4 linked regions of the Tribolium castaneum genome follow. The protein of the gene in region 2 purifies or fractionates together with the protein of the main gene of each other region. This does not show direct contact. Links are inferred from orthologs where the notes say so. Each region holds a gene or a part of one and is shown on either strand. Other genes may lie near its edges. The genes, in order: gw, AGO1, RISC-loading complex subunit tarbp2 and Dcr-1.

Region 1 (7,236 bases), on a different chromosome or scaffold from region 2:
ACGGGCGTCCATATTTGTGTGTAAGTTTTTGCATTTATTGTAACATTTTTTTAATCGTCCGCAATTATCTGAAATGATTGGATAAACAATTCGCTCGAATGACGTCACGTATTTTATACTTTGCGCTCACTTTGTGTTACAATTTGGTGGATACTTGGCTATTCTTATCGATTTTTTACGACCAGCAACAATTTATCAAAATGACATTTTAATTTAGTTCTCCCAATGTTGGTAATTGAAATTTTCGAGTAATCCGACGCCTACTCGTGCATTGCTTACACAATGCGTCAAAATAATCTTTCATTTCTAAAATTAAACCGCAGAGATACTGAAATGTAGGTGGTTGTCGCATTTCGTGCATCTCTACCGCTCGCTAAAGTGGGTAGTGGCGTTTTCTATTTCATTTTTTGATTTTCTTTCACTTTATTATCGGAGGTTGGTATGTTTGACGTTTATTTGAATAAGATAAGATGGCGGTCTTTATTCTAAATAAGGGTGGTGTTTTTACCGATCCCTGGATTTAATTTTTTGATTTTGTTTTATTAATTGCAAAATTTCGTCCAAAATCAGCCAAAAATTCGCCTAAACTGGTCAAGAATGGCGTTGTCGGAGTTAAAAGTACGTACTGTTCAGAAATGGCTGTTCATCAAGTCACCTATGAAATTTGAACGCTTGATTTAAATTGTGAATGACGTCAAAATGACAGTTTTGTCAAAATAATTCTAAAAACGAAAGAGTACACAGCAAAAATCGTGGAAATATGTATAAAACACAATTCAAGACCCTGCACTTTTGCCGAAAAATTCAAAAAAGTGAGCAAAAAGTTAATTATATTTGAACACATTTTTTTCCTTCTTTCTAACACATTTTTTGGTAAAATTTAATCAAAAATTCTGTCAGTGGAATCACCAAATTCGGTGGAAAAGGGTATTTTTGGTTTTTCTTTTAAACAATATTTCTCCCAACATTTTATTAAAACACAGAAATCGCCCAAGTTGCAAGTCGAAAACTGGCTAAATTAGTGCAAAAATATCAATATTTTTGGCTTTTTTTCGAACATTGTCAGCTAGAAACGTAGTTGAAAGTAAGCGTTGTCGGCCAGAAACGGAACTATTTTTCGTGATTTTTTCAAAATGTGTGGAAGAGTTGAAGTGTTGGTGTTTTGCAGATCTCTGGCTGGCCAGACTGATATGGAGCACTAGTGACGATGCGCGCCCCCACCCCCTCCGAGCCGAAGTCTACATTTCCTACCTACCAAGTGCCTCAAGTGTCAGCCATGAGGGGCAGCGCACCCCCAGTACAAGTCGCTCGGGCAGCTTGGGGGGGTCGAGCCGACCCCCCGAGCCAACCCATCGCCGCTAAAGGCGCCACATCTGTGATAAACGGCTCAAGTTGCCGTTTAAACGGCAACTCTAATATTAGAATGCAATCTGTGACCGAAAACTGTCTTCTGAACTCTGTTACCGTACCAAAAATACAACGTAAAGACCACTGCAAGGTCGCCCACAATAATAGCGATAAGTTAGTATGTAAGTTTGGTGCTTTACCCCTCGGACGAGACATTCCCAACCAAAAGTCTGATGACCTCGAAGTACTCGACCTCAATGCACTGAAGAACCTCACTAGCTGCGATAACAACGACGAACACTGCGACGACGACGAAATGTGCCGTGAGCCCCACGTTCAGCGCACAAGCGATAATCATACGCCGCCTCTGAGATTAAGAGGCGGTGGCGAAAGTTCGCTCAGCACCGGCACTTCTGGCTGGGGCACCCCACCCTCACAACAGGCCAGTAATAATAACGGTAACAAACCCCTAAATCATTTTATTCATTTTAAACGAATTCATTCCGTAATATAGCTAACACTTCGAGCGGCTGGGGAACAGCCAATCCCGCTAATCAAAACAATACAGGCACTCAGCAATGGAACAATAACGCTAATCGACCACCGACCTCAAGCCAGGGACCTACGCAAGATGGTAAAAATTTGATCAATTAAAACCGATACAAAAAGTATTAATTTTTTATTCAAATAGCCAACAAGGCCAATTCTAACCTGAATTCGAATGGACAACAACAAACACCCGCCTCACAACCAAACAATTCCAGTTGGGGTCAACCAGGTGCAAAACCACCAACAACCAACAATGGACCCCAACCTACAACTTCGACATCTTCAGCTAAACCACCCAATCCCACCGCCCAACCCAACACGACCACTTCAACCAAACAACAACTTGAACAACTCAACAACATGAGAGAAGCCATCTTCAGCCAAGACGGTTGGGGAGGCGTACGTATTTTTAATTTTTTGCGAAATAAATTTAACTAATCATTTCGTACAGCAACATGTGAATCAAGACACGAACTGGGACATCCCCGGCAGTCCCGAACCCTCGATGAAGATGGACGGTTCAGCTCCACCTCCTTGGAAGCCAGCAATCAACAACGGCACCGAACTATGGGAAGCCAATTTGCGTAACGGCGGTCAGCCGCCTCCACAGCCCCAACAGAAAACCCCATGGGGTCACACCCCCTCGACCAACATTGGCGGTACCTGGGGCGAAGACGACGACGCCGACAGTTCAAACGTATGGACCGGTGTCCCCTCAGGCCAGCAACAATGGGGCAATACTGCCAATAGTGGCGGTATGTGGGGCGGTCCGAAAAAAGAGTCCGAATGGGGCGCAGCGGCTGGAAACCCTGGCTGGGGCGATCCGCGCACTGCCACCGATCCACGTGCAACTGGAGGCATTGATCCGCGCGATATGCGTCCAGATTTGCGAGATATGCGAGCCGGAAGTTCGGATCCGATGCGTTTGTTAGATCCGAGAGAACAAATGAGACTGGCTGGAAGTGATATGAGAGGCGATCCGAGAGGAATCACCGGAAGACTGAATGGTGCTGGAGCCGCTGATGCGTTCTGGGGACAAGCGGGACCGCATACAGGGACACAACATATTCATCATCAGAATAAAATGCCGGTGGGACCTGGAAATGGGGCCGGATGGGAAGAACCATCGCCGCCGACACAAAGACGTAATATGCCCAATTATGATGACGGTACTTCGCTCTGGGGCAACCCTCAGCAAGGTAGCGTAGCGGAATTGCACTTATTTATTTTATATTTTTGATTGGTTTGTTATTCTTGTCGAAATTACACGCAAAAATTGAGTCATGCACTTGATATAATTAGATAAGGTACAAGTGGCAAATGCATTTTTGTTTTAAATGTTTACGTAAGGTTTGAGAATTGAGGAAAATTTGTCTTTTGCTTGTGCAATGAGAAACAAAAGGAAGATAACTTTGTTTCATAATATTTGATATGAGATTTGTGTGACATCAAATTTATTTTAAGCGGTTTAAAATTCCTCGAGGTCCATCAGGTTCTAAATTTGGCTATTGTAATGTCTTAAAGAAATAAACATGGTTGTTGTTTGAATATAAATAGAACGCGTCAACACTGAGTCACGTAATAATGAAAAAAATTGGGGATTTTAGAGCTTACGTTTGAATTCAAATAGAATTGTTTGCGTGTTTTTTGGGCAAGACATAATGTAAATATTTCTTGTGCTAGAGAGCGGAATCGTCGAGGGGTAATTAGACTAATCATGATTTTAATTTTGTTTAATTTTTCTTTGACATTTCCACACGAGATTAACACCGCAGACACACACTGATCATAATCACACTTGCACTCATCCAACTTTTCACCTACAATAGGCTCTCACTGGAAAGATCTGCCCACAGGGGCAAGTATGGGACGCGGTAGCACCGCTGGTCCACCTGGAATGGCTCAGTCCCGTATAAAACCAGACGGTTCAGTGTGGTGTCATGGGCGAAATGGTTCATGGGACGAAACCGGACCGGGATGGGACGAATCCGTGGGCGGTTGGAACAAACAGAAAATGGCCGGGACCCATCTATGGGGCGACAACGAAATCGACTGGGGCCACAACAAAGGACCCAAGCAAAATCTCACGAAAGAAATGATCTGGAACTCTAAGTGTTTCCGAATGTTGATGGATATGGGCTACAAAGTCAGTGCTTAAAAAATTGTTGTTGTTTTATATTGCGATTTTTTTTTAATAGAAAGAGGACGTCGAGACGGCGCTTCGCCGCGGCGACATGAACTACGAAGACGCTCTTGAAATCCTGGGTTCGCGTAATCCGGACGGCTGGCGAAACCGCCACGACGACCACTACGACCATCAGCAGTTCCCGGGTCAGCGTTTCCCGTCTGGACCCCCAGGCCAAATGTCGTTCCCGCAGGGCAACAACGCCCCGAACCTCCTCAATAACATGAACAGTTCAGGTGGGCCAAATAATTCACTCATTAATAACATCTCGCCTGCTGGAGTACACAAAATGTTGACACAAGGCGGCGGCGGTTCGCAAGGTTTTGGTGCTGTTTCGGCGGCCGGACGCAATCTTCAACCCCAATCGCAACCCTCAACTCAACAATTACGAATGCTCGTACAACAAATACAGATGGCCGTGCAAGCTGGTTATCTTAATCATCAAATTCTCAATCAACCGTTGGCACCGCAAACTTTGATTCTCTTGAATCAATTGTTGCAACAGATTAAGACACTTCAACAGTTGATGACACAACAGTCGGTTGCACAGTCGCAATGCATCAACGGGAAGCCGAACAGTGCACTCTTGCAGTGTTCGGTGTTGATTACGAAGACTAAACAACAGATTACGAATTTGCAAAATCAGATTGCTGCACAACAAGCCATCTATGTCAAACAACAAAACCATGGAAGTATCGGTGGGGGACAGTCGGATTTGTTCAAGACGGCTGCACCGATGCATGACTCGATTAATGCCCTACAGAGCAATTTCGCCGATTTGGGGATTAAGGATCAAGTGGTGAGTTGAGCAAAAAATTGCGTATGTGATACGGGAGTGGTTTTTTACAGAATCAGAGTCAATCGAGGCTTAACCAATGGATCAATAAGGATAAAGAAGAAGGTGGAGAGTTTAGTCGTGCCCCAGGTTCATCGTCAAAACCTTTGGCTACCTCACCTAACATGAATCCACTAGGGTTGACCCAACCCGATGGGTGAGTAGTCTGTTTTTTTTTTTTTTTATTAAACAAATCTTGCTACAAATACATTAAATATGAACCAAATCCTGTAAAGTTAAAATTTCAATGATTATAAACAACGGATCCAATTAATGATGGTTGCGTGATTATCAATACGTTATGAGTCAAATTCGAGTGAAAAAAATCGTTGATTTTGCTTAAACCTAAACTAATGGAGCAAAAGTCCTTGGTCTAGCGGCCGAACTGGCGACGGTGGTTGGCCAGAATCCGGCGGCGGCGATTCATCAAACGATGGTAAAGACGCACAGTGGCCTACGCCTACTCAACCATCCTTGTCTGATTTAGTACCTGAATTTGAACCTGGAAAGCCCTGGAAGGTACAAAAACCGGCCCAAAACTAACACATTATCTAATCCCGCGCAAAATTCCAGGGTAATCAAATAAAATCGATCGAAGACGATCCCAGTATTACTCCCGGTTCAGTAGTGCGTTCGTCACTCTCAATCGCCACCATAAAAGACACCGAACTGTTCCAAATGAATCCGAATAACAAGAGCCCCCCGGCCGGCGACACAATCCAGCCTTTAAGTCTCAGCTCGTCGACTTGGAGTTTCAATCCGCCGTCGTCGACATCGAGCGCGTTCACTAGGTTCGAACAAACCAACTAACTCGCTTCGTTCATTTCACTGTCGCGTTTAGTCCTCAGAATAAGTTGCCGTCATCGAAGAGTGGTCTAGGTGAGTTGAATCCGACCACAGCTGTCACGTCCGAATTATGGGCGGCTCCGAAAAGTCGCGGCCCGCCACCAGGTCTGTCCGCCAAAGGTGGAGCCCTGGTCAATGGCTGGTCGTCGGCGGCGTCGTGGGGCGGCGGCCAACGGGGCTCTGGAAGTTGGGGCGGGTCTCCGTGGCTTCTCCTGCGCAATTTGACCGCTCAGGTAACGTTAACTAGGTGATTTTTTGCGCTTAATCGAATGTAACAGATTGACGGGTCGACTCTACGCACACTGTGTATGCAACACGGCCCATTGCAAAGTTTCCACCTTTACCTGCATCAAGGTTTCGCTCTTGCCAAATACTCGACACGTGAAGAAGCTACTAAAGTAAGTTGATTAAAGGGTAGGTTTGTGGGGGTAATGGTGCGATTACAGGCTCAAACTGCCTTAAACAATTGCGTGCTCGGTAATACGACGATTTTGGCGGAGAATCCGTCAGAATGGGACGCCAATGCTCTGCTGCAACAAGTTGCAAGTCAACAGAGTTCATCGGGAGCGTGGAGAGGTTCCACCAAGCAGCCCAGTACAGGGAGCGACACCTGGAGTACTGGCTGGTCAAACAGTCAATCATCAGCTAGTCTATGGGGTAGCACCACCTTGGATACGACTGATCCGGCACGTGCTACACCCTCGAGCCTAAACTCGTTTCTTCCCGGCGACCTCCTCGGCGGTGAGTCAATGTAAACAAAATACAAAAAAAAAAAAACGACTGACACTGACTTCACACATTATATTGGGTGTTGATGATGTAAGTTTTAAACGTTTTTAACTTGATTGATTTTTGTAAGATGTCGGAAAACACGAATTGTATTATTCCACCTTTATTGTTATTTAATGTAATTTTTAATTTTTACGACGGTTGTTGTTTTTAGGATTGCTTTATGATTTAATGAGTTTCACAGATGTACACAAGGACCGGTCGTGAATACCTTTTGTTTTATCTTAAAATTGAAATTAAATGAGAGTTGCCATTTTTTATTATTTATTTATTATTTAATTGAGAAGAAGTGGAGTAATTGTGTATGTTTGTGATGCAAGAATTGTTTGTAAAAGAGAATTATTAGCAAATAAAGTATTAAAATTTGGAGAAAAATTGCAAAAAAATACGTCAACACTTGTTACTTAAATTAATCGTAACATTATTCCAATTGTGACTGTGAGGCGGCGTTTTCTTGTTTTCCACTGATGGCGCTCAAGTTTCTAAACGCACTTAATGTGACATTTCATTTTTAGACGTAACCCGAACTAGTCCCGAGCAAGGTTAATTATATATATATGAGAAAAAAGATAATATATATGTACGCGACCAAACTCATTATTCGTGTATTTAAAAACAAAAATTAAAAGAAGATTGAATTATTTAAGGTGTACTGTATGTATTTGATTTGTTCTCTCACATTTAG
Region 2 (7,236 bases):
AATTTTAACAAAACATTCCGAAAAAACTTACTTAAATGGTCAGAAAATGTCAAAAGTAACAGTATATTCGGATTAACTTGTTCTTATCGTTTTGTTTTTTTTTTGACCAAATTTTCGGGAACAATTTTGTTCCTAATTGACAAGCGTGTTAAGAAAGCAAAAATAATGTAATTTTCAACAGAATTTGGTATTTTTTCAAAACTTAAACAACTATTTTTAAACCAGGTAATTTGTTGATTTTTTGCTTTATTTACAACATATTGGGTATCCTAAAACGATACGCAAAATCAACGTTAATTTTTATTAAGAAAATAAATGAAAATACGGTTTTAAAAAGACGTTAAGATGTCACAATTTTCTACCAAATTTTTAGGTTTTTTTGGCTTATTTTTTTTGAAGAAATTTCGATCAAAAATCAACAAATTTCGTGATTTTTCCGACAATTTTAACTTTTTTTTTTCGATAAAAACTTTTTTAAACATTAAAAAAGTCAAAAGGATCAACAAAATGTTCGCTTTATAAATCTTTTCATTTTGTTTTGTTTATCTAAATTTTACAAAATAATAGTTGTCTGTCGTCTGGCCATAAAACAACCAAAAACACTCGAAAAAGGGAAAAACATTTGCACTTGGTGCCTTAGATTGGGCGATTTTTCAGTTTGTTTTATCAAAATCTCACCCAAAAATTGAGAATTTCGTCTAAGAGCACTTTTTTCACCTAGTTTTTTGTTTTGTTGCTTATTTCTGACGAAATTTTCGTGATTTTTCGGTCTGTTGTAAAATTAAACAACTATTTTTGAAGTAGGTAGTTTATTAATTTTTGCTTTATTTACAACACATTTGGTATTTTAAAACGATACACAAAACCAATGTAAATGTTTATTAAGAAAGTAAATGAAAATACGGTTTTAAAAAGACGTTAAGATATCACAATTCTTTACCAAATTTTTGTTTTTTTGCCTTATTTTTTTTTAAGAATTTCTATCAAAAACCAACTAATATCATGATGTGTCCAACATTTTTAACTTTTTTTTGATAAAAACTTTTTTAAACATTAAAATAGTTAAAAGGAACAACAAAATGTTCGCTTTATAAATCTTTTCATTTTGTTTTGTTTATCTAAATTTTGCAAAATAATAGTTGTCTGTCGCCTGGCCATAAAACAACCAAAAACACTTGAAAAAGACAAAAACATTTGCACTTGGTGCCTTAGATTGGGCGATTTTTCAGTTTGTTTTATCAAAATCTCACCCAAAAATTGAGGATTTCATCTAAAAGTACCTTTTTTCACCAAGTTTTTTGTTTTTTGTTGCGTATTTTTCATGAAATTTTTGTGATTTTTCGGTCTGTTTTAAATAAAAATAAATAAATAAATAAATGGTTCTCGATTCTGTTTTTACTTCAAAAACGTGCTTAACACGCCAAAAATGCAAGTTTAATAACTTTTCGGTTTGTTTTCATGAAATTTTACAGTTATGCTAAAACACAAATCGTATTCTTGTTTATTCTGTTTCAACGTTACCTTTCAAACAATGAAACAAATTCAAAATTTTATGGGCTTCATATGCAAAAGAGTGTTTTTTTAGAAAGTTTTCTTTTCTTTTTTCATTAAAGTCATTGTAACATTTTTTACTAATATCCGGAAGCCTGTTTTATGGATAATGCTAATACCAATGCGTTCCCTAAAAGAATTGTCAAATAAAAATACTAGTCAAGATTGAACCATTTAATTTTGACGGTAAGTATTGTGTTATTTAACTCTCTTTTACAAATTTTTGCTATGAAAGGCCAATGCGTCGTTAATCGTTTATTCGAGAGACAAAATGATAAAACGAAGTGTTTTTACTTATCTCTTAAGTTTTTGTTGCCATTTCTTTACCTTACTGGCTATATAAAGAAGCCTTTTTCGATTTCGTATCACTTTCATGTGTGTGATCGTTCGTGTGTTATTATTTGTATTGTTTAATAATCGTGACGTTTCCAACCATGAGTTTACCTCTTCCCGACATCATCCAGAGCGTGTTGAAGGTGTTCGACGAGCTCGACACTCCGGTTAAGATTTCAGCCCCACGTGTTGGTCTTAAAGATGGGTTTGTTGTTCCAGCAACCGCCCCTGGAACCGCTAGCACCGCCGTGGCCGTCGTGGGGGCGACGAGCACGGCCCTCGCCACCGTGCCACCCACGACAGATCCGCCGGTCTTCCAATGTCCCCGTCGGCCAAATCTCGGCCGCGAAGGCCGTCCCATTGGCTTGAAAGCCAACCATTTCCAAGTGACGATGCCGCGTGGCTTCGTCCATCACTACGACGTGAGCATACAGCCCGATAAATGCCCCAGAAAGGTTCACATTTCGTCTAAATCAAATGTTTTTTTCCTTAAGTTTTTGTCTCCAGGTCAATCGGGAAATTATCGAGACTATGGTACACGCCTATGGTAAAATTTTCGGCAACTTGAAGCCGGTCTTCGACGGTAGAAACAATCTCTACACGCGTGATCCTCTACCGATTGGTAATTCACGCGAGGAGTTGGAAGTGACGTTGCCTGGCGAAGGCAAGGATAGGTTGTTTAGGGTGACAATAAAATGGGTGGCGCAAGTGTCGCTTTACGGACTCGAGGAAGCGCTAGAAGGGAGAACACGACAAATACCGTATGAGGCAATTCTGGCGCTTGATGTCGTAATGAGACACTTACCGTCGATGAGTTACACGCCAGTTGGTCGAAGCTTCTTCAGCAGTCCGGAAGGGTATTATCATCCGTTGGGTGGTGGGCGAGAGGTTTGGTTTGGGTTTCACCAGTCGGTCAGGCCTAGCCAATGGAAAATGATGTTGAATATTGATGGTATGTTTTGGTGTGTTGGTTGTGTTTTTTTTTTAAATGTTTATTTACAGTTTCTGCAACTGCTTTTTACAAAGCACAGCCGGTTATCGAATTTATGTGCGAAGTTTTGGATATTCGAGATATCAACGAACAGAGAAAACCGCTAACTGATAGTCAACGTGTCAAATTTACGAAAGAAATCAAAGGTTTGAAAATCGAAATAACACATTGTGGGACCATGAGGCGGAAGTATAGGGTGTGCAATGTGACACGAAGACCGGCTCAGATGCAATCGTAAGTTGATGATTAATTTTATTAATTTGTTGCATTCTAATTAAATTTAAATTAATTTTTTATCTCACAGTTGCTGTGTTATTAGTATGAAAACGTAAAGAACTAAAGAAAATTATCAAAAAATTTTGTATTGGTATGAAAATGTTAGTTGAAATCTACAAAATTCTACTTACTTTTTTGTATTCTTTGGCTGTGTTAATCATTTTAATTGAATGAATGAAACACGTATGTAATTTAGAGTAGGATTTTTCATTTTTACTTGTAATTGAAAAAAGCTGTGCAAGCGAATTTTTTTTTTCAATTTTTTAGACGAGTAACTAATAACTCAACTTAATAAAGTTCAATCCTATAGAAAACAGAGTAGTATTAGAGGAAAATTATTATTACTTAAAAATATTAAGCTATAAATAAAAATTAAACCCAATTATTATTCAACAAGTAATCAAATTAATTGGTAGATGATATACAGCATGTCTCGCGAGATAGTGTAAATACTTTAACCATAGATTGAGTATTAAAATTGAATTGACCCACATTTTTTATTTTTTTAAAGGTTTTTCTTATGGTGTTATTATTAACCTCCAAAGTTGCTCCAAAAATACAGAATATATATTTTTTTCTTTAATACTTGGCATACATTCGTTGTTTTAAATAATTAGTCATTTAACAGTGCAAATTGTAAGGTTGTAAAGCATTGTTAAAGGGGCTGCGAGGGCCCTCTTATTTAAATTGTTTCATAACTTTGTTGCACAAATCAGTTCGTTGGTACTAATAGAATTTGAAAGCTTATTCTTTTGTACAATATTTGAAAAGTGATTCTTTCGAGCTAAATACAAAAAAAATTCTATGGACGCGTGTCCGAAAATGATTTCTAAAGAAACTAGAAACCTTTAAAGGTGACATGGCAGTCATTTTTTAATAGTTATTATCTCTGTAAACTGTTTTGTTAGATATTGTTAAAAATTTACACCCAGAGTAATTTTTTTGAGTAGAATTTTTTATTGCTATCAAAAATTGTAAACTCCATCTAGGGGGTAACCTATCAATCTTATTTTAGACGTAAAATTTAATTGTTTTTTTTTGAGGCTGGTAACAATTTTTACGTAATTTTTGCACAAAACACAGAGGTCATTAGGAATAAATAATTTGGATATTAATTTTTGTTATAAAATATTTTAGAAATAGTCTGAAAAGATCACATGTTTAGAAAATCATTTTATAGCAGACGCTGGTTTTTGTGTGATTAGTAGTTTTTGAGATACAGTAAAAATAAAAATAACAAAAAGTAAATAAACTTATTCTTACATGTATTTATACCTACTTACCCACTTCTACAAAAACCTAAAAACGATTTAAGCTGACCGAAAGCTACGATTAATTTATCAGTTTTATTATTTTTTCGGGGATTTCTGGCTTAAAAATATTACTTTATTCTTTGGTTTAATTAAAGAACAAAACTTGCTATATAGATAATCTACAATCGCTTTATTCTGACTGGAAAAGGCTTATTTATTTTAATCACCAGTTTTGTTGAAATATTTTGACCTGGAGCAATTTTTACTTCAAAAATCGCTGTAGAAAAAGTTGGAATTGCTTTATTCTGCCCAAAAACGACGCTTCAGACGCTAGTTTTTTTGTTGAAAATATTTGATTTCGTAAAATTTATTTCTCAAAGCGACAAAACTTTTAGAAGATTAGCTACAATTTTATATTGTGGTCGAAAACAAACTTTTGCAGCTCTTCTGCGGCGACTTTTACCGATTTGGACCAAGGAATCATCTCAAAATTAAGTCATTTCAAAATACTGCTGTTTTAAATCATTTTCCACCAGAATAGTAATTAAAAACTGGTGTCTAAATGCATACGATTTGTGATCTTATTAATTTAAAATAGTGCCCAAAAGCGATTTCAAAATACATATTATTTAAAAGTGGTAGAGCTACTGATTTCTGAAGTATAATATTAAAAAAAAAGCGAAATATTTCGAGATCGGCTAAACTTTTGTGTTGTATAATAATCGACCAATCCAGAAATTATAAATATAGCTTTCTGTTAAAAAAAAGTTAATAATTCATTTGAAATATGACTATGAAATATGAATTATAGCTATGTATTTCTATTTGTTTAAAAAATGTAAAAACTACGATTACTTTAAACTTGTTAGTTACATTTTATTTGCACAGGTCTCGTAAAATGATTGCCACAGCATTTAGTTAATACTAATTTTAGTGTTCACTCTTTTAAAGGGGTGAGTTATTTGTTTTATGCATAATTTAATTTAGAATTGTGTATTACAGTGTTATAATTTGTTTTTTGTTTGTTTTAGTTTCCCCCTCCAACTGGACAACGGACAGACCGTAGAGTGTACCGTAGCAAAGTATTTCCTCGACAAGTACAAAATGAAATTAAGATACCCCCATTTACCGTGCCTCCAGGTTGGCCAGGAACACAAACACACCTATTTGCCGTTAGAAGTCTGTAACATTGTAGCTGGCCAACGATGCATCAAGAAACTAACGGATATGCAAACATCCACTATGATAAAAGCTACAGCAAGGTGATGAGATAATAACACACTAAGGCTTCAAGTTATATGTACTATTTTATATATTTTTTTTTAAATATAGATCAGCACCGGACAGAGAACGTGAAATCAACAACTTGGTAAGGAGGGCTGATTTCAACAACGACCCCTACGTGCAAGAATTCGGCTTGACAATCAGTAACAACATGATGGAAGTTCGCGGTAGGGTTCTCCCACCTCCTAAACTACAGTACGGTGGTCGGGTGGCTTCCCTCAGCGGACAGGTGGGCTGGCACGTTAGTTTCAAGTTGTATTACTATTATTATTTTAATCATTCGTTTATTCGTGTGTTTATTTTTTGTAGATAGATGTTTTCGTTGCATGTTGTCACGTGTTTTTTTCGATTTGAATTTATTGGTTCACTGTGTGATAGCATCGTGGTTGTTTTGTTGTTCGTGTGTTTGATGAGAATTTTTTATAATGAATAAAAATACATAAAGAATGCGATTGTTATATGGAATTAATTGTTTTGTGTTTTTTCTCTTAGAGCAAACAGCAAGCGATGCCTAATCAAGGCGTGTGGGACATGCGAGGCAAACAATTCTTTACGGGTGTGGAAATCAGAGTTTGGGCCATCGCTTGTTTTGCTCCACAGCGTACCGTGAGGGAAGACGCTTTAAGGTATGTATCATGTTAGTAATGACTGAAAAAAATCTATACAATGACTGGTTTCAAGTCAATATTTCACTATTATTATTTTTATAATAGAAAAAATTATTGAAAAATACCAAACAAGATGAGAAAATCGATTTTGATGTTAGATGGGTTTGAATCAATGCAAAATTTTTGAAAATTCTTTCACTAATATTTTTAACATGTTTGTGAATTTTCGTTAATTACGATAAAATTACACTTCAGAATGACATGTTTGGAACTTATGTAAAACAGCCTTTAGGATTCACTGAGCCATATTTATTGTTTTTAGTGTTGTTTATTTTTTACACATCTATAAAAGGAGGAAAACTGATAACGAAGTGTATAACATAAAAAAGATTTTAACATCTAAATGTACGTCATTTTATTATAGCTCTAAGAAAATTATTAAGTACATTATAAAATGAGCGCATTTTTTTTGGATTATGGACTTTTTAAATAAATAAAAACCACTAGTTTTTTTCTAAAGTTTAGTACCTATATTATGTAATTCACAATAAAATGTAAGCCAAAAATTCTCAAATTTAAAGAGATAAAAGATTGTTATTGATTGTACTGGGTGGCAACCTTATCGCGCACCCAGGAAAATCGCGACTTCTAATGAAATAAAAATTCTGAAATTTTACACACCAGCCTATACATTAAAAGGACCATTCTCGATTTTTATTAAATTTTTTTGTTAATAAATAAAGTCGTAGCAGTTTTGTGAGTTTTTGAGCACTTACTGTTAATTTAACTAGTTTTTAGTTTTTTGAACTATAGAACACTGGTATCAGAATTATAAATTTTTACTTGGTTGGTAAAATAATCGGTTTTTTTTATTTAGACGCAAACTAGGCGCGTGATTTATTAGAAAATGGTATAATTTGCCAACAAAGGGATCAGTTAC
Region 3 (7,979 bases), on a different chromosome or scaffold from region 2:
TGACACACAACGGGTGACTTAAAAATTGGGGCAAAAAAATCTACTGGCAACATTGAGCTTATTGGTGGATATGGTTTTTGTTTATCTACTGCCAAGGATGCGCTACCACCTTCAACTTTTTTTTTCAAATGTAACGGAATGTCAAGAGTACTTCAAAAGCAGTACAACACACTATTTGTTTTTTGAATACTTCCAAAGCCTACATGATAAAAAAATAAAAACCAATTTTTATTAATTGAAATTAGGTAAATCACACTCGAAATGTTACAAAATGGTAAAACTTTAACATATAAATTTGATAGTCAAAGTTGCCAAATTAAGATTTCAAATCTGTTGGCCAATCTAACGACAAGAATTCACAATCTTTAATAGGCTCCCGGTAGTTTTTTTAAAATTTTTTCTACTAGATTATACTTTAAATGATTCGTTAAATGGTTGTGACCTGTACTTTAATGAAACTCATTAAGTGTGGCGACCACAAAGACAACTTGTGACCAATGAGAATGTAATATGGCAGCAACTATTTTTAGATTTCCTTGAGCGTTTGACAATAGGCTAATATTTAAAAATAAATTTGACACTTAAAATCGTATTTTTTTTATATTAACTGGGCGGATCGTAATGTACGCTGTTCGCATTTAATGGCTATTAAAACATATAAAATACTATTTACTGAAAAAGTCATACCCGACCACTGCTGAGGAAAACATGAGGATCTTCTTTCCAAGCCACTCCACTTGGAGTATCCTTGTGTTCATTGAAAGAGGCATAAGGAATGTAGGGCCTCCTCACATCCCAAATATTTATACTACAGTCAACAACTAAAGCACATGAAGCTATATGAAACCGCCGTTGAGGGCGCCATTTGACATGTCCTATTGAAGCTATAGTATGAATGGTATATTCTAAAGTCAGTTTACTTGTCAAATCCCAGACCTAATAAAACGCGCATTTTATAAATATTTAAATCAAAACATCTTTAATGGACAGAGAATTTCATTTTTACCTCGCGGCTCTTATATTGATTGGGATTAAATACATACATATTATGTATCAATGTGACATTATTTCTGAAGTTAGTATACATCTAGGGTATACATCAAATTTAAAGTCAAACTGACAGTTTATTATTCAAATTAAAGTTTCAGCAATTTTCAAATATCACCCCATGTATTTTGTCCCATTTCTATTTTTTTAAGCCGTGAAATTTCATAATGCAACTAGCCGTTTATAAACAAAGTTCCCCATCTTTCAAAGACATTTTTAAAGAATACAAACTTTGATAGTTTTATCTCTACTGGCTGTGGCCAGCCACGTGTTCTCCGGATGCCAATCGCAGGCAAAAATGGGTCCACTGTGTGCAGCAAATTGCTGTTGGCATTTATCAGATCTTCTTACATCCCATAGTTGGACGCTTCCGTTTTCCGAAACGGCCGCAAAAGTATATGGATTATGAGGGCTGAACTGCACATCGCGGACACTCTCTGTGTTACTGTAAAAAATAGCAACTGCGTTTTTGGCGCGGATATCAAAATAACGCATCGTGCCATCTTGAGAGCCGGATATGAGTCTGTTTGGTTCACTGGCGTGAAAATTCACTTTGTTTACTGTACGTTTGTGTTCTTGATAATCTTGTTCTTGCATTGCTTTGCCCATTTTTGTGAGATTCCAAACACAGACATGGCCGTTGGTGGCGGCGGTCGCCAAATAATGGTCTGAAAACGAACAGTTATTGAACAAACTGTATGCACCTTCAAGTACTACCATCAGTCCAACTCCACGAAACATCGTTGCAAGAAAAGCTCAGATTGAGGTGTTTGGATGCTCGCAAGTTGCACACTTCGCGGAATTTGTCTTCTTCAATTGTGTAAACTTTGAACACTACAAAAATAAGTGCTTTGTAATGAATGAACAATTTTTCCTTTTAATTTGTGCTACCATTGCGTCCACCAATTGCCACTTGAGTATTGTCTCTATTTAAGGCTAAAGCATTTACAGGACCTTCTTGCAAAACGTGAAATGTAGCCATTGTTTACATATTCTTGACACTTCTTTGATAAAATCCAGCGATTTATAAATTTGACACTGATAAAGTTTAATTTATAATTACTACGTTCAGTCACGCGTTTACTTAGTCATTTTTTATTATAAAGAAATAGTTTTTAGTCATTTTTTTATATTTAACAAAAAAATGCGAGGTTAAAAGGAATAACCTAAAAACGTCAAGTCTGACGTTTCACGTTTCCTAGAAATCAGTAGCTTCCAAACAATTACCAGTTATAGCCATACAATACAACAGAGAAGCAGTACATTTTAATAATCAGAAGGGAAAAAGTGATTGTTATTAAAACATTTTATTTGGGTTAAATAAATGTTACATAACATATTTTTTACTTATCTGGGTGGTGGTGCCACCAAATCATAATTATAATTATCTCCGAGTGTGTAATAATTTTTACCATCATCATCTTTGGCCCAATTATTGAAGGGCGATGGTGGTTGTTTATGAACAACTTTAACAGGGGCAGACTTAAGTCCCATTCTGATGTATCCCACGATTGATGACATAATTAAACTCATAGTACTTAAAAGTATTGCAATGCTTGACATTACGGCCATAGTTTTAAAAGCTAACGGAAAAATAATAGATTTGATCATTAAAGCTCCGAAAAGAAGTGGTACAGTGTATTTGCTGCCACCTCCTTTTTTCTTTTTACGCGCTCCTTCCATTTCTAAAATTTTAAATTAGAAGAATTACACAATAGTATACAGTAACTTTTTTATTAAGTTTTCTTACCATTTGTAGCAATGAAACTGTCGAAGATAATTTCAGAGCTTGGAGAGAATGTTAACAAAAATACAAATACCAAAACAAGCGTTCGTAAACGCATCTTGGTCAGAAATGAGGATCTTGTGTGATTTTTTTACAGTCTAGTTGGTCGTAAATAGGCTAAGAATATGACAATTTTAAAATTACACATTTTTAAATAGTTTTCAAGCGGAAAATTGGGCGATTTGTGATTACTTTGACAAGAGGATGTTAAGAGATGTGTAATTGTAAATAAAATACATCAGTAAAAAGTAAAAATTATTGTTTTTGGATCAAATTTATTATTATTATCTTGCAAATATTAAAAAATAGTGAAATGACCAAAATTCATGTTGGTAACCACATTTTTCGTCGTTTATGGATTTCTAAAAAGAACAAAAGTTGGTAGCAACGAATTCCCGCTAAGTGGCGCTACTGTAGAATGTTACTTCTTCGCATGCGAACTGTTTAACCATTTGACGTTTGTGTCCATCAAAAAACGTCGCCATTACAGTGTTTATAGCGACGATTGTATTTCAAAGTGTAATAAAAAATTCTAAATAATTGTAAGTAATTTTACTGTTTTACATATAATTTTGCTACAATAGAGTTGTGTTGTCTATTGCGAATTATGGGTTGTTAGTGGAATATTTATGAACCTTCTTTACCGGCTCTTTTTACAAAAATTATAATAACAAAAAAATTTGGAGTAAATTTGTATTTTAAGTACCGAAACTAATAGTTTTAGTTAAAAATTTTGACCGTTGCTTTAGGGGTGTGAATGCGAAGGGGTCGCTTTGTTGAAACCGTTACCAGTTTCTCTCTCTTTTCTTTTGTGTTGTTGATTTAAAATCTTTGAGTTGTGTAGGGCGAATGGAATATAATTTGCTCGTTTTCTTCAGTACGGGAAGCGGAAATTAAGGGCCGACAAGCGGCGAGATGTTTGTACCTCCGCCAGTTGAACAGGTAAAGAAATTTAAAAAAATCGAGGATTTGTTATGCCTTTATTCTCGTGGTGATGGTCGGTTTTTTATTCGCGCCAGTTTTCCAATTGTCAAACCTTGCAACGATTTTTCTTTTCAGCAATTTCGCATGGACCCAAATATGACGCTTCTGCATTCCTCAAGTCAAATACACAACGTCCATCCTAGGAGGAAAAACAACAGAAATACTTTACACGGAATGCAGGCTGAACGCTTGTCTCTGAGCGAAGAGGCTAAATTGGTGCGATTTTTCTAATTATTATTATAATTTTTTTTTGATACTAACTGAGTTTTAGGAGATGGCGTCGTTGCCGACCAAAACTCCTGTTTCAGTACTTCAGGAGTTATTAAGTCGTCGTGGGGCGACGCCTAAGTACGAACTAGTCCAAATCGAGGGGGCTATTCACGAACCTATATTCCGCTACAGGGTGTTTATTAATAACGATTTGGTTGCTACTGGAACAGGGAGGTCGAAAAAAGACGCCAAACACGCTGCTGCGAAGAATCTGCTTGATGTTTTGGTCGGCAAACAGAGTCCAGAACAAGCCAACGCTTCTAACGGGACTCCCGGAGCCAACGATATGTAAATAAATCAGCATATAACTACGGAAAACTAAATATTAGGAGGCGAAACGAATTTCAATTTTTTTTTTGGATATCTATTGCTGGTGATTCAATCAAACATAAAATGGAGCTAAAAAACATATTCTTTCCTTTATTGTTGCACATTTTACTATTTTCGAGAAGTTTATGAAATATAGTTAGATTAGTCTGTGAACTACTTGAGGTTTAGTTTAAAATTGATACGAAAATAAGGCTATATTTTGATGAACTTACAAATCACACACATACACACACACACACATACACATGACTTTGCAAAGAAAAGTCGCATATTGTAAGAGAATTTTATGAACTCATTGAAGAACATCACAAGAGTATGTTTTTAAATTTACATTTTCTTTGGCTGATTTTGATCGATTTAGCTTACTTACTATTTAACAAAAATCTTTATAAAAAAACGTTAATGAAAAAGTTGGAATTTTTTAATAGAGTTATTGTCCTTTTTCTGTTGATTTGTTCCACATATTGGCCGATTTGTTAAATGAAAACTTGTCTCATTTAAGAAAATTTCTTTCTTGTTGTCGATACAGTTTGTATTTTTCCTAATGTTTCATTATTTGACAAAATTTATTCTTTAACAAAAAACGCAAATTTAAATCGCAATAATTAATATACTTATACGGTTATTATGTAAATCAAAGCAAATATTTGCAAAAAAATTTATTTACGTAAAATTTGAAAATTTCTTTACGTATTTTACGTAAACTCCCATTTTTTTTGCGTTATATAAATACTGCCAAATTAAATTTACTGCTGTTAAAGAAAACGAAAGGAGAATTTATTTGTACGTCGTGTCGTATCCTAATTTTTAGGTATCCGTACGGCCAATAAATCGCAACGTCTAACATTTGAAATATTGTATTCAGTACAGCTCAAGTGGTGTCTCCGTTTGATGATAAAGTTATGGGGAACCCTATCGGTTGGCTCCAGGAGATGTGCATGTCTCGGAGATGGCCTCCACCGTCCTATGAGATGGAACATGAGGAAGGTCTTCCACACGAACGCCAGTTCACGATAGCTTGTCAAGTGTTAAAATTCAAAGAAGTCGGTACTGGCAAGTCAAAAAAATTAGCTAAAAGAATGGCAGCACACAAAATGTGGCAGGCCCTGCAAGATATGCCTCTAGAGGGCAATAATCTGCCGCAAGGTTACGACGACGATGAAGAGGTAAGACGTTTCTGTTGATTTAGTTTAGTTTTTTCGTTTGGCTTTCCTTCTTCAGACATGGATGCTTTTTGTGTTTGCTTATTGTTAATAAAAAATTGGATCTTGCTGAGGTATTTTTACGATCTTTCAGAGCGCGCTGTACAAAATTGAAATGAATAAAATTCGTAAAAATAATCCCGAGCAAATCTGTCTCAATTCAATGACGTATTTTGTAGTTGGCGGCGAAAATGTGTAACTTACAAGGACGCTACAGTGGTCTGAAAGATAGTAAAATACCGACACTCAACATACAACACACCCAAAAGGTGTCACAGTTTCACAAAGCCCTCAAGCAGTCCAATGGGCCGAAGCTAAAGGAGTTGCAGGTAAACTACTTGATTTAGCAAAAATGCGAAAATTGTATCGTTTTTACATTTGTATAAATCGTTTCCAGAACATAGTTCTCAACAGCAAAGACTTCAACTTCATTCAGTTTTTGCATGAAATTGCGTCCGAGCAACAATTTGAAGTAACTTATGTCGATATAGAGGAGAAAGCACTATCTGGCAAAAGTCAGTGCTTAGTACAGCTTTCTACATTACCGGTAGCGGTGTGTTACGGTGCCGGAGCGACACCGAAGGAAGCGCAATCAGCGGCTGCTTTGAATGCACTCGAATATTTAAGAATAATGAGCAAGAAGTGAATTTCGAGCTTATGATCGTTTACACTTCAAACATCTGCAACTTTTTTATTTAATTTGTTTTTATTGTGTATACTTATTTAGGCTAATCCATGTTGAGATGTTTTTAAGTGTAGCCGAGTCATTTTTTCAAACAAAAATGTATCAAGATGCATGTGCTTTCCCTACATGCATTTTGCTTTTCTTCTCGATCGGCGCCATTTTGGTAACACGTGATGGATGAATCTTGGGCGGCGTCGACAATTTTACGATTACATACATCACAGTCAGTTGGGCACTTTTTATTGTGTATTGTTCAAATGCGAAACAATAAAAACTGTGCGACTTATTAACGAGAAGGAACGCACCTAATTTTACAAGCTATACTTTGCATAGAATTAGTGGTTTTTTTCGAGACTATGTATGTCGTTTTTTATATTTTTGTGTTTGTGTGTGTGTTAATGCACTCAAGCAGAAAATGATTTTTTAAAAGGTGTCTATTATTAAGAGTAGTGATGTTTAGGTACCTAGCTTTAGCATTCCACTATATAGGCACTAGAACTTGAGTTGTAATGTTGGGTGCCCCCATATAACATGTTGTACATATTTATATTGTGTAAAGGGAGCATTTATTTAATGCAAAGTATAGAGGTTGTACCCCTGTTTCCCCAGAATTAACATATATGTCAATAGAAGCTAATGTTAAGATCAAGTACATCAATTCGGACAATATTGTTTTTCCTTTATTATGTTCTACTTGAGCCATATCGATATTGATGTGTATGCTAATTGAAAATAAAATAATAGCTTACAAAAAGTGTTTAATTAAAAAAAAAGACGGTGGTGGCCATGTTACAGCATTGTCACTGTCATTCAACGTGACATGATTTATATCCGGCCTTGTAAATTTTTTAATTTGCTCTTCCACGTCGGAGTTGGAAGCTCAATTTTCGCGCTGAAAATTTATTTAATTGTTTGTAAAATATTCATTGTCAGAGAGATGTTTCCTTGGCCGTGAATGAATTTTTCAGTGTTCGCTCAATTAATCAGCTAGCGTTCTCTAACCGAATTTGCATAAAGCAGTAAAAAATATTTTTTTTTTAAATTCATTTTCCCTCAACATGCATGAACAAGTTTTAATCTGCGATAATGCATCTCGGTAAACCCGTTAAAAAAACACTATGTTTGTCGATAATTTTACAACGCTTGCACTCTGACTGAAAGTGGATCGACGTTTCGTCGAAATTAAAGACAGGAATTTAATTAATTCGATTCGGTTTGAAATTTTCTCGAATTGGAACGAAAAACAACTTTCGTCCACCTGTTTGCAACAAACTACTGAATATTTAAATACGGGAGGTTTTCGACTAGAGCCTTTTGAATGTATAAATAATGCTTTTACGAAAGCTTCTGATTGTTGTTGAAGAAAATCTGTTGCTCTTGAAAGCTTCGGAACCCAACCGAATTAAAAGAAACTTTACACGTTTTTCCACGACGGAGAATAACATCCAATAGGAAATTTGCATTTGGGACGCTTCTTCATCAAGAAATAAATACACGGTTAAGTGCATCGAGCTGTGTAATTGGTTGTCTGCGTAGCGAAATTATTTTGCGAAATTCCCGAATCCAATAACGCTTTAGTCTTTCATCACAAACCGTAACGACGTTAGATTTCCCAGTTGGAACTTAATTTTGTATAGCTATGGATTTTTTAAAAGTCCAATGGAACAAACCTCGT
Region 4 (7,757 bases), on a different chromosome or scaffold from region 2:
AGGGGTAGCTTCAAAAAGCAGGGGGTTTCATTTAAAATTTCTAATTAAGGATGGTTAATTTCTAGGGGATGATGTATGTTAAGAATTCTACTCTATCTTTAGCACAAGAGGGTAGAGGGTGGTTTGGGCCGACAAAGGCCCAGAATTGGGAGCAGTAGTATTAGTAAGTTAGTAGTAAGGGAACCCTGTTGACGGAAGACAAAATAATTTGTTATTGTTAGAATGTTAGAAAATATTGTTATTGTTAGAAGGTGGTGTTTTAATGCGAATAAACATACAGTTTTTTAAATGTGGACTGTATGTTTATTGCATTAAAACACCATCTTCCAACAATAACAACTTTATTTTGTCTTCTGTCAACAGGGTTCTCTTACTGCTAACCTACTAATACTATTCGCCCAACTCTGGGCCCTTGTCGCGCCAAATCACCCCCTACCCTCTTACGCTAAAAGTGGGGTAGAATTCTTGTTTAAATTAAACTGGCTTAAAATTAAAGACCACTACGTACTATGACTAAAAATTTTTAAAATAAAGTTACCTCTAACTCAAAAACTATATTAGATATTTTGAGTTAATAAATATCGAAATCTTTTAATATGAACAAGATAGTACACGTATTTCAACAAAACTGACTTCAGGGAAAAAACGACTGATTTCAGAATAGGGGTTGATAGGCAAACATTTTCTGTCGCAATAACCCCCTAAAGTGTGACAACATATTTTTGTAATAACCTTGTACAGTATATTAAAATTCGCATACAAACATGCATATAAATATAAATACGTATGAAATTTAAAAGTGCATTCTCGCTGACGTTTTGGCGCGCCGTTTGCTGATTGGCTAAAAGTAACATAGTTTTGACGCCTCATAAAAAAACTAAATTGGTTGTTGATTTCCAGAGCCGGCTTTAATCGCAAAATCGAACGTGATCCTCGACGTGAAGCCCTGGGATGACGAAACCGACATGAAAGAGCTCGAAAACCAAGTCAGGAAGATTTCATCGGACGGCCTCCTCTGGGGGGCCGCCAAACTGGTCCCTTTGGCTTACGGCATCCACAAATTGCAAATCTCGTGTGTTGTTGAAGACGAGAAAATTTCAATTGACTGGCTACAGGACGAAATCACAGCAATTGAAGACTACGTCCAGAGTGTGGATATTGCGGCCTTCAACAAGATCTAAGCGACCCTTTGTACTTTTTTATTTAAATAAATAAAGTGGCCCCGGTTTCATTTCCAAATAAATATAGTTAATTTTTATCTGTGTTTTATTAACCATTTCGTTTTTTTTTTATTTTTCCACATATTAGTATCGACTTTGCAGTCAATTGTGATTTGGCACAAGCATGGCTCTTCTTAGGAAACTAGTGCCTTACTCTATGAGAACTCATAGCAATAAAAAACTGTCAAATAAAAAAAAAATCATTTCTAATAGCAATTAAAATGTGTTGAATAAAGTTGTGTATAAACATTAATAAATTGTGAACGGTGTCTTTAAATGCCAGATTCATTGCTGACGACTAAACATATTTCGACTATTCTACACATTAACGGATCAAGAAAAAAAAATGTACATAGTTTCCCCATCTAAGAATTCTACTTTGAAGACACAGAATTAAAGCAAAGTCAAGCCGCAGAAAAAACACTTTTATTTTTTGAAATTCGAGAACTTCAAAATACGAGTGTGCTAAAAAGCTTATTTAAGCAGTTAGGCACGCTTTCTATCTACCAAAAAAAGTGTTTATCACTCATTACCACATAATAAAATATAAGTACAACAACTTTTCTATAAAAGCATTTTGCAAAAGTATTCATTATTTTTACTATTTCCCTCCTTTCCTGTAATAATTGATTCGCCTTTTGGGGGCCATTCTGAACACTGTAATGAATTTTTAAAGATAAAGTTTGCGAAATCGGGAAATTTTAAAGAATCTTTAAAAATTCATTAAAGTTCCAAGGGGTACTTTATGATTTTTTTACAGTCGAAGGCCCTATCGAAGAGCTTAATTTCCTGCAAAAATAAAGAAAATTGCAGGATATAAAGTGGGTGAAGAAAATAAAGTTTGCAAAATAGAGGAACTTTATAAAAATTAAAAAAAATTGTTAAGGTCCCAAGGGTGTTTGTCCGAACATGATTTTTTTACAGTCTCCTGCAAAATAATCTCCTGTAAAAATAAGGAAAATTACATAATATAAAGTAGATGAAAAAAAAAGTTTGCGACATCGGAAAATCTTTAAGAATCTTTAAAAATCCATTTTTACAGTCGAAGGCCCTATCGAAGGACTCTTCTTTTACAAAGATAAAGAAAATTGCAGAATATAAAGGGGGTGAAAAAAAATCAGTTTGCATTGCTTGAATATGAGAATAAAAAATGCAGAAATTAAATACAGTTAAGTTTTAATTTGTAATAGAAACACATTATAATGGTCAGGAGATTTTCTACAAATGTGATATGCAAGTCAGCGTAACAGCTTATTGATGTTTTTATAATGATTTACGATTATTTTGATAAATTTTCTGGTGTGAATTGGCTGCAGAAAACGAGAATGGTGGGGAAATAAATTGTCTGGTCGACTGTAATATTGATGGTGCCAGCACCATTTTTGAACCATGCTCTTCACCGACATTCAATTTTTTTGGAGTGATTGTCAAAACGCTGTCAACTGTCAAAACCCGCTCGGTCTGTGTGGTGTTGTTTGAATCTAAACTGGTATTTTTGTGATAATTTGTATATTCCAAGTGAGAAAAGATGTATCCCGTTGGTGGTGAGACGTCTCTAAGTTAGTTCAATCATAATCAGCAATAATAGCAACGAAAAATGCTTAGATAAGTCCTCCGTTGTGTACAGCACCCCTACATGGCTTGTTATTTAAACGAAAATGTTTACACGCACACGTTTACCCCACGAGAGTATCAAGTGGAGCTGCTGGACAGCGCTAAGAAGCGTAATACAATCGTATGTTCGAGTGCGAGTTCGGCGAAAGCGTTTATAACAATAAAACTGCTGCAAGAGTTCTCCCACAAGATGCGGGTGCCCCACGGAAAGCAGGCTTTATTCGTGCTGGACGGCCCGAACGTCCCGATAATGACGTCGCACGTGAAGCTGCTGACCGATCTGACCGTTACGAGCATAGATAAAGAGGAAAACCCCCCGTCGTTGAAGGCAAGCAATGTGATTGTGACCACAGCCGAAGTCTGTGTGCTTCTATGTAAGAAGAACTTCGTTCATTTGGACAGTTACGCTCTAATCGTGATAGACTGCTTATACGGGGGGCAACAGTCGTTAGTTAGGGAAATTATGGCCCGGTATCAGGCGATTCAAGCGCCCAGACCTCGAATTTTGGGCCTGACTGCCGGTCTTTTGGGCTCCGAGATGCAACCCGATCGTCTAGAAGCCGAATTACAACGCTTAGAAAAATTACTTAGTTCCTCGGTAGACACTTCTAGTGAAATTCTCACGCTGATACGCTTATCTTGTCGGCCGCGCGAACGCATAGTCGAGTGCTTTAAACCCATTCCAAGCCCTTTGCAGGACAAAATCAAGGCCACTATAACCTCCTGTCAGGATTTCCTCAAGGACCACCGCTACGATCCGAGCGAAATCTACGACGATGACTTGCTCGAGGAATTCAAGCAAGTCCCAGACCCCAAGGAACAGCCTTTGAGCTTCTTCGACGACTTCCTCGAAATTCTGGACGATTTGGGGCCCTGGTCGGCCGACAGAGCCGCCTATGGCATGCTTATCAAGATCGAGAAGCTCAAAGTCAAAGTTCCTTACGAAAGACATTATTTATTGTTATGCGTTGCTTCATCAGTATTAGTTTCGATAAGGGCTCTCTGCGAACTCGAATTCCAAGACTACACAGATAAGGAAAAGGTGTTTCGTTTCTCAACGCCGAAAGTACTCAGATTTCTCCAAGTTCTAAAGCAGTTTAAACCGACCGGTGATAAGCCGGAAACTTGCGACAAACTACCAGACCTCAAAGACCCCAAGAAGGGAAAAGGGAAAAACTACAAAGGGCCCCGAAGGCCGTACATCTCGCGCGCGCAAAGCGACGAGATGCTCTGCGCACTCGTTTTCGTCAAAAATCGCTACAAGGCGGAGGCCCTCTTCGCCCTACTGTGTGTAAGTAAAGCAGACGTGTTCCTGTAAGGCTAAGGGGTTGCCCTAAAGTGCCATCGTGTTTTAATGCTGCCTGTCGCAAGGTTTTGCCACAGAACTAACACTAAAATCATAAATTGAAGAAGTACGTTTATTTTGTAACTTATGATCTGTTTAAAAACTACTTTAAAGCCCTTGATGTTTAACACAAAATTAAAACAGGAAAAATATCTGACAACTAATTGTTTGGACTAAAAAAAGGAAAAACTTTCTAGTAGTTCGTGATTTATTTTTTTTGGGGGTTTAATGAGGTCACGACTTCCCACTGGCATACTTTTAATGATCTGTCACAGAATTTTAGCGTTTTTTGTTGCAAATGTGTTCTATTTTATTTTTTAAATCTTTCACCACTGTGGAAGATTTTTAAGATAATTTTTCATTTTGTGCCAAAAAGACACAAGACATATTTAAATCAGGCCTGTTTGCTGACCAAGACATAACATTAATGTGAGAATTACCGAATCATTAGGTATTTCAAATGTTTTGCTGTGTGACAAGAAGCATAATTTTTTTGTATAATTTTTCAGTCGGTGGTAATAAATGTTTTTGCAAAATATATTTGATGGTGTTCATGAACTCAAACCCACACCGTTTACAAACATGTATCATACCATTAGCAAATTTAAGCGTACTTTTGAGACAGTCTTTGTGAAAGATCTCTTGGTTATTTATTACTCGTTTTTGAGAATTGAGAATTTCAGCAGTGAGTAATGTTTTTTTTTCTTGTTAATGATAGTCAATTTTGGTGTTAAATTTCTTAGCGTTTATATATTTAGTTGCCAAGCTCAAGTGGATATATTTACAAAAAACACTAGAGTATTTAGAGAACTGCATAAGTTTGAAGTGATTTTATTTTTCCTTTAAACGTGAAGCATTTACTTCTCTCACTTTTGCTAAGAAATTCTTTTCTTTTGAAAAGAAGAAGCAACGCAAGTCTAGTTTATCTTTAATAGTCTAATGCTATTTTTGTTTATATTTATCTGCTTGACTTCATGGTTTGAACTCGAGCTTCTATTCTTTGGGCAAAATCTTGCGATACTAAGCTGGTCCCCTCAGCCTTAGAAATTGATGGTTTGCCCGCTGATTGTTTGCATTGTGTCAGGTGATGTCAAAGAGCGACGAGGAGTATTGGTGGGTGTCGGTTTCGTTCTCCGTGAATAAGATCGCAGATCCGGTGCGCGAGCCTCGGGAGGCGGAATCCGAGCATAAAAGGCAGGAGGAAGTTTTGCGGAAGTACAGAAGTCACGAATGCAATATAATGATAGCAACGTCGGCGTTAGAACAAGGCTGTGATCTTCCTAAATGTAATTTAGTGATACGTTTCGATTTACCTCAGTCGTTCCATAGCTACATTCATAGTAAAGCGCGAGCGCGCGCAAACGAAGCTCATTTTCTTTTGCTAGCGAACGAGAACGAAGTTAGCGATTTTGTTGAGAATTTAGCCGAGTACAACGAAGTTGAGAATACGCTATTGAAGAGGTGTTACAGTTTGGAACCTGATAAGAATGAGGAGCTGGTTGCTGATGCTTCGTCTCTGCAATGTAGACCGTATCAGCCGTCGGCCGAACCGGGGGCTAACTCAGTTAGTCTCTCGAATGCTATAGCTTTAGTCAACCGGTATTGTGCAAAATTGCCCAGCGATACGTTCACCCGCTTGACGCCAATTTGGCATGAGGAGAAGGTCGAGAATGGTTATATTTGTTCCATTCGGTTACCTATCAATTCTCCGGTGAAGAAAACGGTGACAAGCCCTCCAATGATTAATACTTTACTGGCACGCAGAGCTGCAGCTTTTATGATTTGCCAACTCCTACACAAAGCGGGGGAATTAGACGATAATCTGCAACCAATAGGCAAAGAGAATTTCAAAGTGAACGAAGAAGACTGGAATAGCTCGGCGCTTGAAGAATCAGATGAAGAAAATCTAGACCCGAGACCGGGAACTACGAAACGGCGGCAGTATTACTATAAAAAAGTTGCCGATGCTCTACTTGACTGTCACCCAATTATTGGCCAACCGACTTACTTTTACAAAATCGTAATGAAACTGACCTGCCCTTTGCCCGAAGAACAAAACACCAGGGGGCGGAAAATATACCCTCCGGAGGACTCTCCTCAAGGGTTTGGAATACTGACCTCCAAAGAAATACCAAAGGTGCGACTCGTCTCTTGATTAAGTTTGGTCTAATTTCTAAATTTCAGATAAGTGCCTTTCCAATTTTCACAAGATCGGGTGAAGTAAGTGTTGATTTACAATTGTGTTCACAGTTAATTGTAACGGAGAATCAAATTTGCAAAATTAGGGAATTTTTAAATTACACGTTTACTAGTGTTTTACGTTTACAAAAGTACCTAACCCTTTTCAATCCTGACGCTTCGGCCAATTCGTACTTAATCGTGCCAACGATAGATGGTGCCACCACCACCGTCGACTGGGACTTCATCGACTTAATCTACGCCAACTTGACGGTACTCCCCGAGATAATTCCGGAAGAAGTCCGAAAAAGCTACGAGTTCGATCCCGAAAAGTACCGAGACGCGGTTGTCATGCCCTGGTACCGCAACCAAGATCAACCCCAGTATTTCTACGTCGCGGAAATTTGCTCCAACTTAAACCCGGCCTCGGACTTTCCAGGCTCCGACTACGCCACTTTCGAGGAGTACTACTTGAGGAAATACAGCATACAGATACAGAATAAAAGCCAACACTTGCTGGACGTTGACCATACGTCGGCCAGGTTGAATTTCCTAACCCCGAGGTATGTCAACAGGAAGGGAGTGGCTTTACCGACCAGTAGCGAGGCCACGAAACGAGCAAAACGCGAGAAACTGGAACAGAAGCAAATTCTCGTCCCCGAATTGTGCGCCATCCACCCGTTTTCTGCCTCTTTGTGGCGAAAAGCCGTATGTTTACCCTGCATCTTGTACAGGATCAACGCACTGCTATTGGCTGATCAAATCAGGCGAACAGTTGCGTTGGAGCTGAATTTGGGCAAGATCGAGCTGGATTCAGGTAACTGATTACTGTTTTGTTCCAGGTGCGTGATCTATTATTTTAGAGTTCAAATGGCCACCGTTAAACTTCGGATGGTCCTTGGCCGACGTCTTGAAGAAGTCCAAAGACGAGGAGAAGAAGAAACAGGAGAAAATCGAACCAGTCATTGAAGAAATCCCATGTACTGAGATAGCAAAGATCGAGGATTTTGACCAAGATGACGACGAGGAAGAAATGATTGAGATTGGGACTTGGTCGAATGACATGGCTCAATTAAACAGCGACCAAGAGTTTCCCGTTGTGAGGTACGCCTCACCGACCAGTTGGATGGACCTCCAAAACACTTACGACGATTCGTCCTTTTCGGACTCGGACTACTCCGGCGATGAGTCCGAGTCCGAATGGGGCGGACTGCGTATCGAATTCACGGGTGATAACGTAGCCGAAGCCGTCGATGACGAGAACAAGAAAGACGACGATTTCGAACTCGTCGACTACTCCAATGTATGGAAAGTCGAAGACGAGAGCGAAATCACGCAAACACTGCGGAAGCAGTTCCATGACGCGTGTGCCCGTAACAAAGATCACATTCTCTCTTCAG

Evidence for each region.
Region 1: the proteins of AGO1 (region 2) and gw purify together in Drosophila melanogaster (affinity purification with western blotting; 17 studies listed by BioGRID, with this or other methods). This does not show direct contact. The link is inferred for Tribolium castaneum from reciprocal best matches to the Drosophila melanogaster genes AGO1 and gw.
Region 3: the proteins of AGO1 (region 2) and RISC-loading complex subunit tarbp2 purify together in Drosophila melanogaster (affinity purification with western blotting; 4 studies listed by BioGRID, with this or other methods). This does not show direct contact. The link is inferred for Tribolium castaneum from reciprocal best matches to the Drosophila melanogaster genes AGO1 and loqs.
Region 4: the proteins of AGO1 (region 2) and Dcr-1 purify together in Drosophila melanogaster (affinity purification with western blotting; 5 studies listed by BioGRID, with this or other methods). This does not show direct contact. The link is inferred for Tribolium castaneum from reciprocal best matches to the Drosophila melanogaster genes AGO1 and Dcr-1.

What each region holds. Positions count from the first base shown.
Region 1 is NC_087399.1:1,984,286-1,991,521, reverse strand, and holds part of gw (protein Gawky), read left to right. Parts: exon of another isoform or gene 1-68; intron 69-119; exon of another isoform or gene 120-256; intron 257-328; exon of another isoform or gene 329-435; intron 436-1,168; 5' UTR 1,169-1,207; coding exon 1,208-1,805; intron 1,806-1,861; coding exon 1,862-1,981; intron 1,982-2,038; coding exon 2,039-2,295; intron 2,296-2,347; coding exon 2,348-3,095; intron 3,096-3,725; coding exon 3,726-4,042; intron 4,043-4,094; coding exon 4,095-4,880; intron 4,881-4,930; coding exon 4,931-5,073; intron 5,074-5,281; coding exon 5,282-5,435; intron 5,436-5,489; coding exon 5,490-5,707; intron 5,708-5,757; coding exon 5,758-5,995; intron 5,996-6,040; coding exon 6,041-6,160; intron 6,161-6,208; coding exon 6,209-6,517; 3' UTR 6,518-7,236. UniProt on the Drosophila melanogaster protein: Required for gene silencing mediated by micro-RNAs (miRNAs). Silences both polyadenylated and deadenylated mRNAs. Required for miRNA-mediated translational repression and mRNA decay. Not required for miRNA target recognition.
Region 2 is NC_087394.1:4,849,676-4,856,911, reverse strand, and holds part of AGO1 (protein argonaute-2), read left to right. Parts: intron 1-2,103; coding exon 2,104-2,339; intron 2,340-2,391; coding exon 2,392-2,836; intron 2,837-2,886; coding exon 2,887-3,109; intron 3,110-5,435; coding exon 5,436-5,666; intron 5,667-5,736; coding exon 5,737-5,929; intron 5,930-6,180; coding exon 6,181-6,314; intron 6,315-7,236.
Region 3 is NC_087395.1:26,691,557-26,699,535, forward strand, and holds RISC-loading complex subunit tarbp2, read left to right. Parts: upstream 1-3,230; 5' UTR 3,231-3,375; intron 3,376-3,669; exon of another isoform or gene 3,670-3,677; 5' UTR 3,678-3,748; coding exon 3,749-3,775; intron 3,776-3,892; coding exon 3,893-4,033; intron 4,034-4,088; coding exon 4,089-4,375; intron 4,376-5,282; coding exon 5,283-5,583; intron 5,584-5,798; coding exon 5,799-5,948; intron 5,949-6,016; coding exon 6,017-6,265; 3' UTR 6,266-7,058; downstream 7,059-7,979. Other genes in the region: GATOR2 complex protein WDR24, read right to left, coding at 688-936, 1,279-1,715, 1,765-1,881, 1,939-2,029.
Region 4 is NC_087403.1:8,545,132-8,552,888, reverse strand, and holds the start of Dcr-1 (endoribonuclease Dcr-1), read left to right. Parts: upstream 1-2,640; 5' UTR 2,641-2,764; intron 2,765-2,825; 5' UTR 2,826-2,856; coding exon 2,857-4,125; intron 4,126-5,263; coding exon 5,264-6,316; intron 6,317-6,363; coding exon 6,364-7,174; intron 7,175-7,220; coding exon 7,221-7,757. Other genes in the region: probable elongation factor 1-delta, read left to right, coding at 901-1,181. UniProt on the Drosophila melanogaster protein: Endoribonuclease which functions in microRNA- (miRNA) gene silencing and, independently of its ribonuclease III activity, also acts in the short interfering RNA- (siRNA) gene silencing pathway.